Linked DNA regions of Neodiprion lecontei. The protein of the gene in region 1 binds, or shares a complex with, the protein of each later gene. Links are inferred from orthologs where the notes say so. Each region holds a gene or a part of one and is shown in the gene's direction. Other genes may lie near its edges. The genes, in order: RNA polymerase-associated protein CTR9 homolog and RNA polymerase II-associated factor 1 homolog.

What was found.
Region 2: RNA polymerase-associated protein CTR9 homolog (region 1) and RNA polymerase II-associated factor 1 homolog share a complex: the UniProt entries of both Caenorhabditis elegans proteins name them as parts of the PAF1 complex. The link is inferred for Neodiprion lecontei from reciprocal best matches to the Caenorhabditis elegans genes ctr-9 and pafo-1.

The regions. Positions count from the first base shown.
Region 1 is NC_060266.1:25,827,587-25,838,714, forward strand, and holds RNA polymerase-associated protein CTR9 homolog, read left to right. Parts: upstream 1-3,314; 5' UTR 3,315-3,388; coding exon 3,389-3,427; intron 3,428-3,686; coding exon 3,687-3,785; intron 3,786-3,883; coding exon 3,884-4,123; intron 4,124-4,200; coding exon 4,201-4,773; intron 4,774-4,858; coding exon 4,859-4,978; intron 4,979-5,064; coding exon 5,065-5,375; intron 5,376-5,448; coding exon 5,449-5,974; intron 5,975-6,054; coding exon 6,055-6,249; intron 6,250-6,318; coding exon 6,319-6,435; intron 6,436-6,516; coding exon 6,517-6,827; intron 6,828-6,969; coding exon 6,970-7,310; intron 7,311-7,417; coding exon 7,418-7,604; intron 7,605-7,686; coding exon 7,687-8,247; intron 8,248-8,398; coding exon 8,399-8,495; 3' UTR 8,496-9,197; downstream 9,198-11,128. Other genes in the region: solute carrier family 35 member F2-like, read left to right, coding at 183-292, 379-572, 650-821, 919-1,075, 1,152-1,362, 1,618-1,745, 1,927-2,125, 2,200-2,235. UniProt on the Caenorhabditis elegans protein: Component of the PAF1 complex which is a multifunctional complex involved in transcription initiation via genetic interactions with TATA-binding proteins, elongation and transcription-coupled histone modification.
Region 2 is NC_060263.1:34,356,817-34,367,321, forward strand, and holds RNA polymerase II-associated factor 1 homolog, read left to right. Parts: upstream 1-5,085; 5' UTR 5,086-5,298; coding exon 5,299-5,369; intron 5,370-6,339; coding exon 6,340-6,420; intron 6,421-6,612; coding exon 6,613-6,705; intron 6,706-7,172; coding exon 7,173-7,497; intron 7,498-7,580; coding exon 7,581-7,724; intron 7,725-7,819; coding exon 7,820-7,923; intron 7,924-8,012; coding exon 8,013-8,229; intron 8,230-8,403; coding exon 8,404-8,647; intron 8,648-8,855; coding exon 8,856-9,280; 3' UTR 9,281-9,565; downstream 9,566-10,505. Other genes in the region: 2-oxoisovalerate dehydrogenase subunit alpha, mitochondrial, read left to right, coding at 1-137, 240-443, 597-860, 948-1,026. UniProt on the Caenorhabditis elegans protein: Component of the PAF1 complex which is a multifunctional complex involved in transcription initiation via genetic interactions with TATA-binding proteins, elongation and transcription-coupled histone modification.

The DNA.
Region 1 (11,128 bases):
ATTCTTTCCTTTGTTCATTCGAAACTGAAAATGGAACGATTCAATTTTCGACAAGAAATAAAAAAGCAGCGCAAAGTTGAAAATCAATTTCCCCAAAAAGAATCGACCACGATTATTACAAATTAATTGTTACGACATTATATCGTATTTGTTCAAACAACCTGTAATACGAAAAATCGCAGGTCCGTATGGAAGACCATAATATTGGGTCAATTTCTGTCCGTCGTACTGTGCTTCATGACGATTTTCAACCACCACATAAACACCGAATACCACCTCGCCTTGCCAACAGGTACGTACATACATACATTCGAAGATTGTAAACCGCGTCATCTATTCTCTTGCATCGATATTTTTTCCTCGTCGTTTTTTCAACAGGTCAGAATCTCCCCCATTACGCCATGATGTGCATCGTCTACACGACGTGGATGTCCTGCAGGGGGGTTGGCAACGGATTAATATCCGTGACCAGGGCAAGAGGATGGCGTTATCTTTTACTCGCGCTGATCGACGTCGAGGCGAAAACCTTGGTCACGGCCTCTCATCAGTTCACAAGCCTCGCCAGTATACAAGTGGGTTCAAGATTTCTTCCTAGTTTTTTATTTTTTACGTTTATCAAGTCGATCATCACATCCATTTTCTCTGTTAGCTCTTATTGTTGGACTGCGTGGCAATTCCAGTTGCTTTAGCGCTATCCTGCCTGGTTCTGGGAGTCAGATACAGGATGGTGCACATTATCGGAGTTTCGGTCTGCCTAATGGCCATCGGAAGCCTGGTGTGGGCGGACATCGAGGACGACAAGGACTCAACAGCTATGACTGGTTTGTCTTTATCGAGTCGAAAAATTGGTTCCGATCATGATCCGTCAACGTCAAAAGGGGGAATCCTGATTGTTTTTTTGTTTTTTGTCTTTTTAAGGCAAAAATCAACTCGTCGGTGACATGCTCTGTCTGGGTGGCGCGATCTTGTTCTCCGTGATAACAGTCCTCCAGGAACTGGCCGTAAAGACCGTTGACATCATAGAGTACCTGGGAATGATAGGATTTTTCGGCACGATCATCAGCTGCATGCAAGTGTAAGTGATTACCGACATTTTAACATTGAACACTGCAATCCAGCGAAGCGACTTGTCTTTGTTATAATTAAATCAGGGGCGTTCTCGAGCGGCTACAACTGGAATCATTCTGCTGGGACAACGCTCCTGTAATAACGTTCCTCATCCTCTACTGCATCACTCAGTTCGTGTTTTACTCTCTTGTACCTGTGATCCTTTTCGAATCAGGAGCAACTGCGCTTCAGCTCGCACTCCTGACTGCGGATTTCTTCAACATTCTATTCGGGATGTTGACGAACCAGTACAAGGTGTTTTTCTTATTTTTTTATCACGGTATCTTAGGGGCCGTTCAAGTATCAGCCAACGCTAACACAAATAATAACGCTGGCCAATAAACTTTTGAAAACGCGTTAGCTAACGATGAAAAACAGTGGCTGGGCAAAACAAGTTATCACTTGGTAGGAAATACAAAAATTTGCAAAAAAATACGTCGGCTGATAGTTGAACGGTCCCTTATCAAACGTGCTTTCGGTCGATTCGTACTCACACCGTTACTTTTCCAGTTTCATACGCTCTACTTCGTTTCTTACACCTTGACGATGAGCGGCATATATATTTACGCGATTCAACGGACACCGATTTCGTCAAGTTCAAGAAGACAGCAAGTCGAGCAGCCGGCCCCGGACTACAGGTACGAGCTAGTAAAATTCGCTATACGGATTTTATGCTTTAAACCTATAGTTGACGTCGATTTTCAAGCTTGTCGATTTAGCAGGTGTGTTTAAAGCATGGAATCTGTGGCGCGCGTCCACCCCTCCGTGTTTACTTGGCTAATATTTTACAACGATCGATTAAAGCGACATTATTTTAAGACACATGTCACATCCCGACGTTGGTGAAGTTGAAATGGCAACGAGTTCAGGAATGTCGGCTGTCAGCGGTACCCTCGATTTACGCGCCTCGACGCTGAGCAGCGAACGAGAAGCCATCATCGACGCCACGAGTCTTCCTTTGAGCGTCAGCTCGGACACGGCCTTTACTTCGTTTTATGGCAGTCAGGTGAATCTAAAGGTGCGGGAACTGGTTTTGGAAAAAGAATATTCCCTTAAATTTCATTCGTATGACTGCGTAATATTTTGTTTCAGACGGTAACGACGAACGGTGGTGGTGCGGCATGCTAATAATTATCCATTGACATGATGAGACAATTTTACCACCGTACTGTGCGTATAGTTAATTCGAAATCCATTATTCAAACGCAAAACTTCACGCGCACACATTAATTATCATATACACGTCGACGCAAAGAATAAAAACATCACAATCATCACCCGAAAGCAACAGACTTAACATTTGTATTTACAATAATGATTATACAATGATAATAAGAAATTCAGGCGCTAATTATATTAGGTATAATGTTGTCGATGTATGATCGATCCGTAATTGATATAAATATTTAATTATTACGATACAATACTGCATACGTTTAGAGTAGCATTTAGATAATTGAAACGTTAATGCCACTTTATAGAAATATAAAATGAAAAATGCAAAGCTATAACGAAACGGAAAAAGACGTTTTTAACCAAAATATAACAAAACTTCGTAATTAAAGTAGTAAAAAAAATGTGCCAAATGTCAATGATCATTTTAAATTCGATTTCACAACAAGACGCACAAGAAAACAAAACGAATGAAATCCATACACGGCACAGGAAATTTTTTTTATCTACATTCGTTACGATTATTAATATTATTTATCGTGATTTTCAAGATTCAATTTCACGTCTTGCAGTAATTAATAAGTTGTAATTCTTTGATTAACAATTGTGTTGAAATTTGTGTACATACGAAAAAAAAACAAAAAATGGTTATCTTCAAACTGTAATTTATGTAACCCTATTATAACGTATGATTATATAAATAGGAAAGTATCATTTGTGTTTAAATTAATGTGGATTCAATTTGAAATAAATATAATACTTCAAGGACTGTAGAAAAAAAAAAAAAAAAATGAAACCAGCAAAAACTGATTATACACATCCTGAATAGTGTGGTATATCTTGTAAATTTTGTATAATCCAACTGCAAGACTCGAAATACCGTTTTAAATAAATAAATTCCAACAGAAAGAAATTCACGGTGTATACGATAAATTCTTTTTGAAAAGAAAACGTGCGGAAAGTAATAACGCGATTGAAAAGTACACCGTGTCACGTTTCGCGCAAGCGCCGATTTCATTCACGGCAACGATGTCTCGCTCGTCTCACTATTCAATTCGCTTCAGTAGCGATCGTAGCGAGACCGTGGCGAGCGCTAAAGGCCGAAGCGATGGCGAGCATCGAGATACCTCTTCGTGATACGGACGAGGTAAATTTTCATAATATCTACCTTATTTTACGACCAATTAAGCTGGTTTCGATTTCTCATCAACCAAGTTCGAGGCCCGCGTATCTTGTTCGTAAACGAGCCGACTGCGTGTCAAACACACCCAACATAACCTAGACGAGCGGGGCTTCTCCTGAGAAAACCGACGCACTCGTTGTGTATCATTTACTATCGAGGCAACTTACAAATCCACGCTTCCCAATTCGCAATACGGATGAATAACTCCTCTTTCCGCAACTAGGTAATCGAATTGTACCTGGATCAATTACCCGACGGCGATGAGGTTCTCGGTATTTTGCGGCAGGAACATGCCCAGCTCAGCATCTGGGTCAACCTGGCGGTGAGAGTTCTGCTTTGATTTAGGCCCTACATTAGGCGTGTCACCGTTTACCAATTAGACGTATAAATATTAACCGACTGATATTTCTTTACGCACAGCTCGAGTATTACAAACAACAGAAGATCGAGGATTTTATTAAGATTCTGGAGTCGTCGAGGATCGACGCAAACATCGACTACAGGGATTATGAAAAAGACCAGATGCGAGCACTGGACATGCTGGCCGCGTACTACGTCCAGGAGGCGAATCGCGAGAAGAACAAGGACAAGAAGAGAGATCTCTTCACCAAGGCAACGTTGCTCTACACTACGGCGGACAAAATTATCATGTACGACCAGGTAAGTTTTGGATCCACCTTGAGGTAGAAACGTGACAGAAGCAGGCAAGGATTAATTTTGTTTTATTATTCCTACAGAATCATCTCCTCGGTCGAGCCTATTTCTGCCTCCTCGAAGGGGACAAAATGGAACAGGCAGATGCACAGTTTAACTTCGTTCTGAACCAATCGCCTAACAACATTCCGTCGCTCTTGGGGAAGGCGTGTATAGCTTTTAACAAGAAAGACTATCGCGGAGCTTTGGCATTTTACAAAAAGGCACTCAGGACGAATCCCAATTGCCCGGCGGCGGTCAGACTCGGAATGGGACATTGTTTTATGAAACTGGGTAACCAGGACAAAGCCAAAATGGCGTTTGAGAGAGCTTTGCAGTTGGACGCGCAATGCGTCGGAGCTCTGGTCGGCCTGTCGGTACTTAAATTGAATCAGCAGCAGCCGGACAGCATCAGAACGGGTGTTCAAATGTTGTCCAAGGCCTACACGATAGACTCGACAAATCCGATGGTTCTGAACCATTTGGCGAATCATTTCTTCTTCAAGAAAGATTACAACAAAGTACAACATTTGGCTCTGCACGCTTTTCATAATACCGAAAACGAGGCTATGCGTGCTGAGAGCTGCTATCAACTCGCCAGAGCCTTTCACGTCCAGGTAAATACCTACCTCGGCGGTAACGGTTTTAGTCTTTTCTGAACGGTGCTGCCGCTTTACTACACGTTAAACGCAATATTTTCAGGGAGATTACGACCAAGCCTTTCAATACTATTATCAGGCGACTCAATTCGCTCCCCCGGTTTTCGTCCTGCCTCATTTTGGCCTTGGTCAAATGTACGTCTATCGTGGAGATGCCGAGAATGTAAGACAACGCAATTGTTCCGACAAGAGGTTACTTGTATACCTAAGAACTTGTTCGTGTGTTCTATCAAATTCATTTCCCTCCAGGCAGCGCAATGTTTTGAAAAAGTTCTGAAAGCCCAGTCCGGCAATTACGAAACAATGAAAATTCTTGGCTCTTTGTACGCCAACTCAAGCTCCCAGTCGAAAAGAGACATAGCCAAAAGTCATCTGAGAAAAGTAACGGAGCAATTTCCCGACGATGTCGAAGCGTGGATCGAATTGGCTCAGATTTTGGAGCAAAGCGATCTAACGGCTGCATTGAATGCTTATGCTACAGCCACCAGAATTCTTAAAGACAAAGTTCAGGCTGATATTCCACCTGAAATCCTTAATAACGTCGGTGCTCTTCATTACAGGTAGGTCGAAGCTGAATTGTATATTCTCCTTTGTAACTGAGTTTGCAGAAGTAAAGAATTTCTGTTTTACTAGACTTGGAAATTTAGAAGAGGCAAGAAACAACCTGGAGGAGTCTTTGGCCAGGTCGAAAACTGACGCTGAACAAGATCCTGTTTATTACAATTCCATTGCAGTCACTACGACGTATAATTTGGCTCGCCTAAACGAAGCATTGTGCGTATTTGACCGGGCAGAAAAACTGTACAAAGACATTTTAAAAGAACACCCGAATTATGTGGACTGCTACTTGCGGTTAGGCTGCATGGCCAGAGATAAGGGTCAAATTTACGAAGCTTCGGATTGGTTCAAAGATGCCTTGAGGATAAATAACGAGCATCCGGACGCCTGGTCACTCTTGGGAAACTTACATTTGGCTAAAATGGAGTGGGGACCGGGACAAAAAAAATTTGAACGGATCCTGAAAAGTCCAACGACCAGCACAGATGCCTACTCGCTTATTGCCTTGGGTAATATTTGGCTGCAGACTCTTCATCAAAGCGGGAAAGACAAGGACAGAGAAAAACGGCACCAGGACAGAGCCTTGGCCATGTTCAAGCAAGTGAGTATCACCCCTTTTAATGACCGTGAAAAGCCTTGTGGATCGAAGCTATACTCAAAAGATATGATCGAATTTCTCAGGTATTAAGAAATGATCCAAGAAATATTTGGGCCGCAAACGGTATAGGAGCTGTACTTGCTCACAAAGGTTGCGTCAACGAGGCCAGAGATATATTTGCCCAAGTCAGAGAAGCAACAGCTGAATTTTGCGATGTCTGGTTGAACATTGCTCACATTTACGTGGAGCAAAAACAATTCGTCAGTGCTATTCAGATGGTTGGTATTACGAATTAACGAATATCGTTTTATCTATTCACCATGCTTTGAAACTAATTTTTATTTCAGTATGAAAACTGCTTGCGTAAATTCTACAAGTATCATCACGTAGAGGTTCTTCAATACTTGGGCAGAGCTTATTTCAAAGCTGGAAAACTGAGGGAAGCTAAAATGACTTTGTTAAAGGTATAGGAACAGCAATGTCACACATGACTCTTTCTATTCATTTCCGTCGCTGACGCGTCTGATATTTACTCGAAATTCCAGGCTCGCAGAGTAGCTCCCCAAGACACATTACTGTTGTACAATATTGCTCTGGTCCTACAAAGATTGGCGACGCAAATTTTGAAGGATGAAAAATCGACGTTGGTTATTGTATTGCAAGCTGTACATGAATTAGGATTATCCCACAAATATTTTCAATTCCTGGGTATGCAGGGTGAGAAAATGGATCAACTTGCTGAAATTGAGGCAAGAAAATGTCAGGATTTGCTGTCGCAAGCGCAATACCACGTTGCTCGAGCACGAAGGCTGGATGAGGAGGAAAAAATCCTCCGAAAAAAGCAGGAGGAAGAAAGGTAACAATTGGATAAGCATTCCTGTTAATTTTCAAATAAATAAGCGCCGAAAATTTCTACATGGAAATATGCTGTGAATCGATTTGTTTTCAATGTTTCATTTTCATTTTCATTTTTTTTTTTTTTTTTTTTTTTTTTACAGACAAGCCTTCAGAATACGCCAGACGGAAGAACAGAAAAAGGTGGAAGATATGCGTCGCCAGAAATCAGAAGCCATGTTACAAAAACGACAAGAGTATGTGGAGAAAACGAAAAATGTTTTACTATTTGGTGACATGCCATCAGAAAAGCCTACAAAGAAGGGTAGGAAAGTAAGGTCTGAACAATATCTAAGCGATAGTGGCTCAGATAGAAATGAACGTACCGAAGATTCAGCTCCCAGAGAAAAAAAACGCAAGAGAAAGAGCAGCGGTGAGAGAAAGGAACGGAAATCGTCAGGAAAGGGAAGAAGGAAAAGGCATGCTAACAGCGGAGAAAGTGGAGGTAAGTTTGAACATCAGTAATATAAATTGATATTTTCATTGGCTGCTTAAATCCTGTTTTGAATGTTTTGTAATCATTAACAAATCGGTCCCATTTATGAACTACAGGTTCGGGAAGTGATCGACCGAAAACTAAACGTGGCAGAAAAGCGGGAGGAAGTAACAAAGGTAAAGGATTTCGCAAGAGTGGCACCGCTGATTTATCAAGTAAACAAAAAATGCGAATTGTTTCTAAAGAAACTATTTCGACAAGTGAATCTGAGAGCGATAATGAAAGGCCTAACATGGCAAGCGGGTGAGTGATCATTCTGTATTTTCATTTCACTGTAGATGCCTGTGATGATCCATTGTCTAATTTTAATTCGCTAATATTTCAGAAACGAAAGCGGGGAAGAAAACGCAGGGCGAGGAAGGCGTAGAATCGCATCGGAGTCCGAAGGTTCTCGTGCCTCACGTTCCAGATCTCGTTCTAGGTCAAAGTCTAGCAGCCGTTCAAAGAGTGGATCCCGATCGCGTTCAAGAAGCGGTTCACGATCCAGGAGTGGATCTAGGTCCAGATCTACATCTCGCAAAAGTGCCTCGAGGTCGCGAAATCAATCACGGTCACGCTCCAGATCTAACAGCGGATCAAGAAAAAGTGGTTCGAGATCGCGATCCAGATCTAGAGGAAGCAGTGGCTCGAGGAAAAGTCACTCTAGGTCCAGATCCAGATCCGGATCCGGCTCACGATCGAGATCAAGATCAAAATCTGGTTCAAGATCACGATCCAGATCGAAATCAGGATCAAGGTCAAGATCGCGATCAAGGTCACGATCACGATCAAGATCAGGCTCAGGCCAAAGCAAGTCCAAGAGTAGGAGTAGGTCACGGTCCGGATCAAGATCGAGATCGAGATCAAAAAGTGGCTCCAGGAGTAGAAGTGCGAGCGGATCAGCAAGGTACGATAGAAAATTATATATTTGATTACCACTCCAATTTTCGAATATACTTCGAATTTTTGATGCTTTTCATGCTTCATTTCTACACCAGTCCGACTTGGATGATTTACAACCCTTGCTTATTATTATTGATTGAGAAATATATTCACAGATCCGCAAGTCCTGTGTCTCGGAAATCGATATCTGGCAGCGAAGATGGTTCTCGCCATTCGAGTCCGCAAAGAGGTGGACAGAGCGGTAGTGAGTAATTGAAAACTGACAATTTCACTGTCATTAATTTAATAATTACTACCTTAACTACCTATACAATATCCAATTTTATTATAGTTTTTCCTGAACCTAATTATCAGAAAAATAATTTTTTTCACTAATTCTCAATTCACAAGTTGGCCAACGTCTTATCGGTATTCGAAGGGTACTCTTCAGTTTCAAATTGTATAAACTAGACCATGCTAGCACAAAAAAACTGAAAATACTCTTGCAATATTATAAAAACCAATGGTTTAGGATCAAAACCTATGGTGTCTATTTCGAAGGTAGCGAGAATGACATTAACGAGAAAGTGACAAAACTATTCAATTGATACTAAGCCTATTGGAACTAGGAGTAATTGTATGTGAGTCGAATAAGGAATGAACCATTCACACTAACGATAATGAGTTACCCTTCGTGCTAGCTACTGAAAAACAGAGTTGCCAAATTTGCAAGCAAAGAAATATATTTATGTAAGTAGAACGTATTGAATTAGCATCGATGATGTGAGTTTTAATATCATCGAAGCGTTAAGAACGACAAATTTGTGATAATTTAGGAGTTGAAACAACAAAGAAATCTAACAACTGTTACATTTTACCTATACAGGATTGAAATTATTGTAAACTCTGTGTATCAGTGGAAAAAAAAATTACCCGCCTTGAAACCATCAATAAAATATCACACACAAGAATTCATTTGATTGCCTATTATTTTTACAACCTTTTTTATCACAGACCTTACTATCCAAAAAACAAATTTAGTGAAAAGTTTTGACGAAAATTGAAACTTGAATGGGACCACAGAGAAGTTTGCAGCTTAAAAGATGAATAATTACTATCAATGAATTGTTACAGCTCATCGTTGTTACAAGCCTAGTAAAGCAGCGGGTTTCTTGTCGCGTATCTATGCTTACCGCTTTGGAACGAGTACATATTTGACGTTCACAATATAATAAATAGCTATTACAATGCTGCATCAAATTCAGCAAATGGCAAGTATTAATTCGAATATTCGTATAACTTTGAATTATCGCCGCAGGTACAGATGAGTCTAATCAAATCTGAGCTAGAAAACACATGTATAAATTCTACCGCCACGCCATGAAAAAGGAACAACGATAGACAATGCGATTTATCTCCCAGAGCAAACCCATTGTGCGAACTGGCAGATCTGTCGAAGAATTTATATTGCATGCAAAACTCACCAGTCAGCTCTCGATTAACCGCTACAGCTGCGCTGTTGCATCTTGTGACTTCCTCCGTTACACGTAGTTGTCCAGCATTTACGAGGCGGTTACAGTCCTTTCTGAAGCATATCTTGGATCAGCGGTGACTGCAATTAAATCAAGCAAAGTTAAGAAGTAATCCCAGATCATCGGTTGATTATTTTCATCAAATTTTCGTGAAAATTTTTAAGCAATTTACACATATACTTAGCAGTTAACAAACAATCAAGAAAGTGTTCTTACCATTGCTATTTCTATTTTCAAGCTGCAGCTTGAGTCCTGGTACACACAAGCATGGCTCCATGAGAATCTCCACACAGCTTCGTCCAAGCGAATAATACACAGATGTAGTTTATCTGTTCATGTTTCTCCATATAGCACCGAGAAAACAACCACGATTGTCGTGGAACGCGTTATTTTACTTCTCTGTTCGAATCCGAGCGGCTAAGCAGCTCGGAATGTTCGAGATCTTTCGCAATGAATACAAATTGAACTGGTAGATTTCGCGAGCTGACCTATTTCCGAGATATTGTATGGACAATGTAAACCGATAATTCGCGTCTACTCTGAACATTTTTTGACTCTGAAAAGAACGTATCAACTTTTCTAGCGCAATTATTTGAGAGAAGAAGAATTTAACGGTCGCGCACTGATTGTCAAGATGGCGGTACGATCGTTTTTCAACTGTCTTTTGCGGCGTTCAGAAATTGCCAAAAGTTTTGATCAAGAATCAAGATCTTGGCGGTTGATTGTAGACTGATAGATTTTTATAAAGAAACAATGTAGATTTAGTCTAGTTTGAGGTTTATCACTAATATATAATATAATTACAGAAAAAGCCAAAATTTTCTCTCCATTAGTCCCACGCTCAGCTTTGCGGCTGACTTTCGTTCGCCTAACTTCTACAAAGAGTTAAACATTATTTATACATACGATCATATTACAAGCAGTCTAATACTTGAGCGAAAGTCAATTATATCAGCGTTTACTAGTTTAATTTCTATTTCGAATTGAATTGAACTTTCAAACCGACCCGTTCAGCTCAGGATCCAACGGAACAGTTGAATGTTCAGACCGAAGGTAGTCACGTGACACCGATCGTGTATTGTTGGATTTAAAAATTCGAAATCTAAACTGGCGGGCGCAGCTAACTTCTGAGTTAAGTGCAGTTCATAATATTCTCACCAGAAGACACAATCAGCCTCAATTTTGCGCGGGTTAATGTGATCGGAGGTTATGACTGTCTTTGACGCATCGTGATCTTGGAAGTTCGTCCGATATACTCTTTGGTTCGACGGACAAATAATTTTCCTACTTTCTAATTATAGTCAAAATAACATGTCATCTCAGTAAAGATAATATTTGATCGTTACTTATCAAGAATATTTTATTTATTTTAAA
Region 2 (10,505 bases), on another chromosome or scaffold:
GCAGCGTACGCATTGAAACTGGCACATTCGGACCGTTGCGTTGCCGTTTATTTCGGAGAAGGTGCAGCTAGTGAAGGAGACGCGCACGCCGCTTTCAATTTCGCAGCTACTCTCGATTGTCCCGTTATATTTATATGGTAAGTGGATGCAGAATTTGGAAAACTACTAGTTTGAACACTTCATCGCCAACAATACATCTACTAAACATGCGAATGGAATTTAAGGATTTAATTTTTTAGTCGGAACAATGGATATGCAATTTCCACTCCAGCTCGTGAGCAGTACAAGGGAGATGGTATCGCGGCCAAAGGACCTGCGTACGGTATTAACACAATTAGAGTCGATGGAAACGATATATTTGCAGTACACAACGCTACGCGTGCAGCGAAAGAGTGGACTTTGGCAAACGGAAAGCCTGTGCTAATCGAAGCAATGTCATATCGGTATAAAACAATCATTACTTCGTAATATTGTTCACTGATGTTTGTTGTTTGTAATTGGTAGTTGTTATAATCACTTAATTGTGACGTTTAGTACGATTGTACGCTCTGATAAAATTACGGTAGCTAATGAGTAATCATTTTTCATGCGTTTAGAATTGGTCATCACAGTACCTCTGATGACAGTTCTGCGTATCGATCAGTGAGCGAGATTGCCGAATGGGAAAAACTGCAACCGATCGCAAGATTTCGCCAGTGCCTAGAAAAATATGGATTGTGGTCTGAGGAGCAGGAAAAAGAATTCGTATCGTCGATCAAAAAGCAGATACTATCGGATTTTGCAGCGGCCGAAAAGAACGTAAAACCCAACTGGAAGGAGGTGTTCACTGACGTGTACTACAACATGCCAGATCATATTAAGTACGTTTACTTTGTACGATCAATGCGAGATAACTGAACGTGTGAAACAATCGGGAGCTAATGGAGTAAACGTTTGATTTATTTTAGGAAACAATCGGAAGCGATGGCAAAGCACGTCGACCAGTACAAAGAACATTATCCAGTAGAACTTTACAAGCAACAGTGAATCAGGTTTAAAATAATTCCAATCCCGAAAACAAATATCGATCTTTACTTACGTACCTTCATTTTTGGGAATCTGAAAACTTTTTCTGTACCTTTGAAAATATATATATAATTTAATCAACAATTCTTCGAGTTTTATTTTGTAAATATCCCGCACGCGTTAAAACTTTAACCGACCGCAGAGAACAAATATGTATAAAGAATACGTATGAATATATTAAGTTTCAAAAAGTATATCGGTAAAAATTGCTGTTTTTATTCGCTAAATCAAAAGTAAATGCAACACTCGGCATGCTTCTCCGATGACGCGCCCGAAACTTGTGTCGCTGCATGAAAATTTAGCCTAACGTTCGTGAAGTTAGGTTCAAGAATTTAGGAATACATAAACATGCCAAGACCCTGGGTTATTTTTCGTAACGGTTTGCCGGGTCTGGCCGGGTTTGGGGGTATTAGCAGTTTCACGTATTATCAACCAAGTAATTGATCATGCCGGTAAAAGAAGTTCTTCATAACCAACAATTATCGCGTGCAAAACGTTGGTAACATATCGTCGTCATCGCAAAATTGAAAAGTTGAGAAAATCTCGTGCAAGAAATACGTACGCCGAAATTATACAACGGATAAATAAATGTCAATCAAATAGGTATGTCGGAGACGTGTTTTTGTTTGCAAAACTATGCGAGAAGTCTGCGAAACATCAGAAACGTACAATCTAAATATTACTGATCAAACCTCGACTCAAATTGATGCAGTTTAAACTGTTGAAAAATATCGAAAAACTTAACTTCCAGGAGTTTAGATGTGCATATACATGATTTTGCAAATGGGTGAAGCAGGGTAAAAAACTACAGCCTAAACTTTGCAGAGAAATTAAAAACATTTAATTCAGTTAACAGTAACATTCGTCAAATATCAGAATCAACTTTCTACGAATAACAATTTTACACTCAACGGTAATTGATATCAATTTAAACTAGTATTGCCAGTTCATTCTAATTCTTTATTCCGACTGTCCATTCCCTGCGTAAAGGATTAGTGATTAGTGACGTGTGATTACGCGTAAACGATGAAGTCGTCTGGTTCAAGGTTCAGTTCATTACTTATTTTAACACATTAGTTTAACAATAAGTAATTTCTGGAGCAAGGCTCCGATTTGTTAGGGGGTGTTCCGTGTTATTCTCCAACTACGGCAAAAGTCTGCAAAATAAACAATAAATTGAAAAATACGATGTACAACCTATTACTGGTGAGATGCTAACGTCAGAATATTGTCTCAGAAAAGACCAATCGATTGTTGGAAGCAGAACACTTTTGAAGCTTCCGAACGGTCTTACAACTTTTCCGCTATGTGTTTTTCACAGAAATATCGTAATTTAAAGAGTGCACGTCTCCAAACTTCTTGGTACGACCTTTGACGCATTCATTCGAGCGATAAACAGTTCAGCATGAAACCATCCGTATATAATTGATAAGGATTTGATTACAAATAATCCGGAAAATCCATCTTCAGGTGGTATCAGTCGTTATAGTTTCTCATATCCAATTTAGAATTGTAATTAATTGACATCGTTTTTCAAAAAAGTTTTATTAGTGGAACGTAGGATTGAGCTGCATTAAATAACGTTCAATTGTTATTAATTTACTTTATATCGGCGAAACCTTATTCGGATATTATTTATCAATGTCACTTTTTGTCTATGTAAATTTGGGTTGCATGTTCCAAAAATTGGATTCATACTGTAAGTTCTGTCTTTCGGACTTTCAACATTTAATTAACTAGTAATTTTCTACCGAGTTGATCAATGCATCATTTTCATTCGCGTTTAATCATAATAATTTATAAATTTTACCTCCTCAACACTACAACACTCGGTAAACTTTCAACTTTCGTCCTGAACGACACAATTGCAAGTCATATTGTTATTACTATATGGAGAATCTTCTTGTAAAAAAAATTCCAGTACTGACAGGTAATTTGTGGACAATTCGTACACTTTGACAATATTTCCTGGTGAAAATAGTAGAAGATAAATAGTTTGTGATGAATAACATCTTAAAAATATGAGCATTTCCTATAATTCTGACTAAAAAATATCGTCAAAGTTTACGAGGTGTCCGCAAATTACCATTCAGTATGGGATTTCTTGTTACAAAAGGTATCTCGATTGTAATGTAGTTCACTTTCCTGAAGAAATAAAATTCAAAAATGACTCCTTACTGATGGATATTGTATGGCCGGATATCCGGCCAAATCGCTATCCGGCACATCCCTAATATTATTATTAAGGGTTATCAGTAAAATGCAGAAATTACGGGTAAAATAGTATCGACTTCGTCGGGTATATGTATTATATTCTCAAACTCGCAATTCCTAATAATCGATACGGGCACTGCCATAAATGTATAATAAAGCGGACAGATACGGGCAATTATAATCTGGGCCACTTGGTAATAAATTTCTGAACAATCCTGTGTTTGGAGGTCAGCGGACAGAGTCGTAAACTAACCAGGTAATGAGTAGAAGTTGTAAAAAGGAACCTTGATCATCTTTACATTTGTTTTTTATTACTTTTGAGATAATGATTGCCTAAGGATCATCAGGGTTTGTTACAGCATGGACTCAAATATTAGTAACAATCGAATGTTGCCTTATTTCTAAAAAATATTGACAAGTAGTATTTTTGTGTAGAATGGTCTGGGTTTTCCGATGCAAAGAAACTGTATTTTTAACAAACCAGGGGAATATAAAGTAACCATCGAGAAATTATAGTTATAGTTTCGATTTCGAGCAATTATTGCTGTAGCGTTAAAGTGTCCAGGTTTCGAATTGAGGGTTGCGCGTTTGAGGTTTGTAAATATTAAGTTAGATTTTGGTTAGTGGGCTGCAAGCTCAGTATATTAAGAAGTAGCGTGGGTTACGAATAATTTTCTACTGTTTAATTTTGGATCACGAAGAGCAAATTTTGAATTCCTTTTTTTTTTATTTGTTTTTGTATCGCCGCTATTGCAAAATGTATTATTTTATTTTATTTTTGTTAAATAGCGTGTCGTTGTCGAGTGTCTCTCTATCTGTCTTTCTCCCTCTCTCCAAAATTACCCCTCCCCTCGCCGCGGTACTGAACTACCGAGAATATTACCCGAGGTTTAGTGGAGATAAAGATTTCAAGCAGTATTGACCACGCCAGGCGCCCAAGAGAATCTCGCGATATCGTTTGCATGGTCTTTATTTTTCAGCGTACATCGCGGACCGCCAAATGATTGTACGCGCTGTAAGTTATCAGTCGCATCTCCGGGTGGCCGAGGTGCAGTAAAAATCAGCGTCACAGTACACAAATTACGTAAGGAATAACTATATGTCTTCTCCTTTGGTTAAATTAACTCCTTCGACTATTTCTCCTATTATTTGCATCAAGAATAGGTTTCTAACTCTGTTAACAGTAAACCAGGTGTATATTTATTGTGCATCTATTTAGATAACATTAATTTTGTCTATCTGATGGAATTACATTAACATTACCGAATGTGGCAAGGCTCAAATGAACTTGCATAGTTGAAAAGTATAGATAGATAGACAGATAGATACGTCATTCGACTCGGCAAAATCTAGATACACGCGGTGAACGATTAGTAACATCAGTTCTTGTCGTCTTTATGTACCAACCATTTGCCGGATTGGGTTGCGCGTGCACGGCAGGACCATAGACTTATAAAAGGTAGACTGAAGCAAAAATTTAAAGGACAGAAATATGCCGGGAGTACTCCTTTCTCTCTCTGACGATATTTGCGGCGGGGATCGAGGCGGTAGAGGAGAATGAGGCGAAATTATGCACCTATGTCTATAGCTGTTCCAGTTCCCTACGCCCTTGTCTCCCGGTATGAAATCGATTGAAAAGAGAGAGCAGCCTCCCAATATATCTCTGTCCTTTATATGTAAGCTTCAGTACCTCTTGTAGGAGCGCTCAGACTATCTTTATAAGTCTATGGGCAGGATGCAGAGGGCGCCGCTTGACGATGCATTTGTCACGTCCACATTCCATTACGAAAAGTCCCATCAGGCTATCAATCTTTGCGTATCCTTAGTCGACGCATAGTGTGAGAGGGTAAACAGTGGTTAAGGGACAGGGGATGGATGTATGTTCGTGGTTAAAAACTTATAGGTTATACGTTATAAAAATATTCATAAATATCGGAGTGCGGTATCGTGATTAGTTAGAGTACCTATAATAATTCGTGAATAATATGTGCAATTGACAAATACATCGCTACTTACGCTATGGCGCCAACCATTCAGACAAATAGCAGTAACGACAGGGACAAGCGAACTGCTAGGCCGATTGAGAAGAGGTAAATTATATGAACCGCTATATATTCTAACTCCCTGCCAACACTTTTTACTGCCACAACCCTATCAAAAATCTCTTCTGTATATACTCTTGAAGCAAACTAGTTAAATTCTGCATGTAAACGTTACTTTGCACCCTTTTACAGGGTCTGTCCGGAAAGTAGTCGAACTGAATTTTTCTCGCCCAGAGAGAGCGACAGAGACCTTTTCGTGTGGATCGGGTTGTCGGCAGTCTTAGCTAAGAAGCGCACATGTCCCCAATCGCTTTCGAGTCTTTCCGGAGTGTAGGTCGATTTTAAAGTGAACCCCGGTCAAGGTGCCTCGTCACGACCTCTTGAATGGCCTGGACCAAGCCGTGGTGCCATCCTTTCGGAACCCGTTTGAGTCGAGGGAAAAGAAGGAAGTCTGCAAGAGCTACATCTGGGCTGTAGGGTGACTGGGGATTTTTGATCATTTCATGGGCTTCACTTGCGGTTGAACTGAGTTCAAAACAAAACTTTATCGCGCAATGCTGCTCGAATAAACGATTCGTTGCGAAGCGTGACGAGGCACCTTGACTGGAGTTCATTTTAAAATCGACCTACACTCTGGAAATGCTCGAAGGCGATTGGGGATAGGTGTGCTGCTTAGCTAAAACTCCTCACAACCCGACCCACATGAAAAGGACCTCTTTCCGTCGCTCTATCTGGGCGAGAAAAATTCAGTCCGACTACTTTCCGGACAGACCGTGTATACTAGCATCTAAACGTTAATGATATCAGCAAACTATCGATTCATTTTACCCGACCAAATTTATGTCATAGCTTAGAGAGCAAATTTTGCTATAACTTGTAGTCTCTGAGACTAAGATCTTTGTCTGCCGTAATGCAACTATTTTGATGATCGTTAAATTTGATCATTCACCTCGCTTGAAAAATTGATCAAAATGTTCCTGTTCATTAATGTAACATTTTCTATTTACATCAATTACAGTGGGAATCAGATGACCTCTGGCATTCAGTCCAACAATAATAAAGATGCCATTGATAAACGTCCTAGACCAGCTGAAAACAGGTATATATCTTACATTAGTACATAACGATTTAAAAGATTAACAGAAGAAAAAAAAAAACATGAATGCAAACATCAGTTGTATTTCAAGCTGAGAAAATATAAAAAAAGAATGTGCACAAAATCTGATATTGCAACCTGTCTGCAGAAAATATTGGTCGATTCAATTAAACATGTTTCACTTGTGATTTTCAGGTCTGAATTATTATGCCGTGTAAAGTACTGTAACACCCTACCAGATATTCCATTCGACCCAAAGTTCATCACATATCCATTTGAATCAACAAGGTAATAGAGCTAACATATGTTGCAGTTCACTAATAATTGTAATACAGTCGAACCTGGATAAGCGAGAGTTCAAGGGACTGCAATCTCTTTTTCGCTTATAGAGGTTTTTCACTAACCCGAGTTTCTAGCTTACAGAGGTACATGAAAGGTCTGTCTCACTGACGTGACAATTACTCTTACTTACAGAGTTTTCTCGCTTACCCAGTCCTCATTCAGTTTTGACTGTATGTGGTTAATGATTAGCACCAGTATACTTTAAAATTATCTAATTCTCGAGTAATGTTACGAAATTGAAAAAATGTCCACTCTAACAGTTTGCAGATTAAATCCGGTTATATAACCCGATATTTTAGAGAATTTTAGCTGTTTTAGGAATGTAATTTAAAATATTGACATAACCAAAGTAATAAAACTGTTATTTTGTTGGTAGTACTTCAGATATAATAAGAGCTTTGTAAATCATACAGATTCATACAGTACAATCCGACATCTCTGGAACGTAATTATAAATATGAAGTATTGACGGAGCATGATTTGGGTGTTGAGATTGACTTAATAAACCGGGACACCTATGCTGGAGATATTAACGCCCAACTTGATCCTGCGGACGAGAAACTTCTGGAAGAAGACATCCTCACTCCTCAAGATTCAAAACGTTCTAGGCATCATGCGCGGAGTGTATCATGGCTCAGACGTACGGAGTACATCTCCACTGAACAGACACGGTTTCAACCCCAAACTATGGACAAGGTTGAGGCTAAAGTTGGTTACAGTATTAAAAAGAATTTCAAGGTAATGATATCTGTTTTTCTAATGTCAAAGTCAAATCATGATGTGTGGCATTTCAAGTAATGCATGATTTTATTTGTTGACAGGAGGAAACATTATACATGGATCGAGAAAGTCAGATAAAAGCTATAGAGAAAACATTTGAAGACAATAAAAAGCTAATTGAAAAACATTACAGCAAACCAAACGTTGTGCCTGTTGAAATATTACCTATCTATCCTGATTTCAAGGTGAGCAATAACTGACGATTTTTCCTTTTATTTTGGACCTATTATTAGGAATATTAAGGCACTTGTTAATCTCGCTTATTTCATACCACTCACAGGTATGGAAGTACCCATGTGCTCAGGTAATATTTGATTCCGATCCAGCTCCGACTGGTCGATCAGTACCTGCGCAAATTGAGGAAATGTCGCAGGCGATGATCAGGTAAACTTGAGAATTTGTGCAGGCAAACTTGTAAATCCCAACTGGATTTTACGACAGTCTTTAACTTGATATTTCATACCTTTCTGCAGAGGTGTGATGGACGAAAGTGGTGAACAATTCGTTGCGTACTTCTTACCACTAGAGGAGACATTAGAAAAACGTCGCAGAGATTTCACTGCAGAAATTGACTATGCCGATGATGAGGAGTACGAGTACAAAATGGCAAGAGAGTATAACTGGAACGTTAAAAGCAAAGCTTCAAAGGGATACGAAGAGAATTACTTCCTTGTCATGCGTCAGGACGGGGTTTGTAATATTTGTATACCTTTTTTAACAAAATCGCAATTCGGTATATTAATTCTTATGTCTTAAATTGAAGCGATATCGAACTCAAGAATACTGTAATAAGTTCAATTTTTAGTAGTCTAGTATTTCGAAAGTGCAAAATTTCTCACATTATATCGTCTTTTCACTGTATAGGTTTACTACAATGAGCTGGAAACTCGAGTACGTCTTAGCAAGCGTAGACAGAAGGCTGGTCAGGCACCTAATAACACAAGATTAGTTGTGCGCCACCGACCATTGAATGCCAATGAATTCAGGATGCAACGTTATCGTGAGAAGCAGCTTGAACCACCCTGTGAAGATGACGAGGAAGAGGAAGAGGAAGAAGAGGAAGAGGAAGAGGGACAACCACAAGAAACTGAAAAGGCTGAAGACAAAGGTATACCGAGACATTTAAAAGTTCTTTTGAAAACAGAAAATTCGTGTAAAATAAACACTTTTTCTTTGACCAGTAACCATAATGTTTTGTTCGTCGTTTTTAATACCTTGGAAAGAACTTTGTCTAGACTAAAGTCGAGAGTTTGAATGTATATTATGTATAACATCCGTTTCTGAATGATAATGAAACCTATTTGTGTACTTTTCAGCTGGCTCTGATAATGAAGGCGGTTCCCGTGCATCGTCGCGTGCATCTTCGCGAGCATCCAGTAAGAAGTCACGATCTCGTTCAAAGTCAAGATCACGTTCAAAATCAAGATCTCGATCAAAATCTGGATCGCGTTCAAAATCTAGGTCTCGTTCAAAGTCACGCTCCCGTTCAAAATCTCACAGCAAGTCTAGGTCTCGTTCGGGATCTGCTCAATCTAGAAGTACTTCAAAATCACGATCTCAGTCCAGATCTCGATCACGGTCCAAGTCCAGATCCCGATCACGGTCTGGTTCTGGTTCGCCCATTAAGTCTCCATCGCAGTCACCGTCAAGATCTAAATCGCGATCAAGATCAAGGTCTGGTTCAGGAAGTGGCAGCGGGAGTGGCTCGGGTAGCAGTGACAGTGGTTCCGATAGTGAGTGATCTGGACTATAAGTTTAATTGTATTATTAGCATAAGTGAGCAATCGATTACCTGTCACCGTTAGTCTCCCACTCACTCGCAAATAAGATAATCAAGGAAGTGTGCAACATTTCGTTAGGCTTAATTACGGGGCTATCTGTTTGTTTGGTAGCCTTGTTCATGATAAACTTTGGTGATGTACAGAATCTGCATTGACTACAATTAACATATTAGGGATTTTATATAAAATATGTCAATGGTAGTTACAATTTTTAATAAAACAATTTTCATTAAATGCACCCCAAATACTTTTGTGCAACTCATTGTCAGTCACTAATTTCTACCAGCTTATTCTCAGTAAGAACCAATAATTCAATACATTCCAGTACCTCTTAATTTTACACCAAATTGGCCTGAATGAAATCCGAAAAATGATGTAACCAGAGTATGAGCGCGAGAAAATCCTGCTTCTACACACCTATAACCGAATGAAACAACTTCAATCAAATAGAACTGTTAGACCCAAAGTAACACCAATCGCCCACCGATATTTACTTGTTATAAGACGTCAACAAACAACATTCATACGGATAAAATGATGACTCGACATATGCATTTCTTCATTGACCCAGCATATCTTTCACTATGAGTCGAGTGGATAGCAGACTTTAGGGTCGAATCCTTCACAGTCGCTCAGCTATGTACGTAACAAATCACCGCGGTGGCAGCATGCAATTCTGATCAAAAACGATCCAGCAAAGTACCACAGTGCCTTATGTTGCCCCAAATTCCACTGTAACTTCATGGTATTTGGACTGCTATTGGAACTCGAAATTTCGAATGCAATATCTGGTGGGCAAAAGATTTTGTAAATACATTAAACATCGCGATTGAAGATAAAATCAAAAAAAACTAGGGGGATTTTTCAGTAAGTGAACATACCTGTAACTTATCCGAGCGGTAATCATGGGGTGAATTCTGTTTGGTGGTCTGTGATTATTGACTGAAGGAGAGAAAGGTAAATGATTGATATTCACGTACTGATCGATGTGATCATTCGAGTCGAAAGAATACGCGTTATGTAACGACTAAACGTGAGTAGAATGCAACAGAGTAGGCGAACGTTGTTTAGGTCTCATTTTCGTTACTATTCTGCAGAAGTATAGAAATGAAAACCGAGATAAGCGGATCTGAAAAACATTTAAAATAGCTGATCATAGACAATCTGCAAGGACGCCGACTAGAG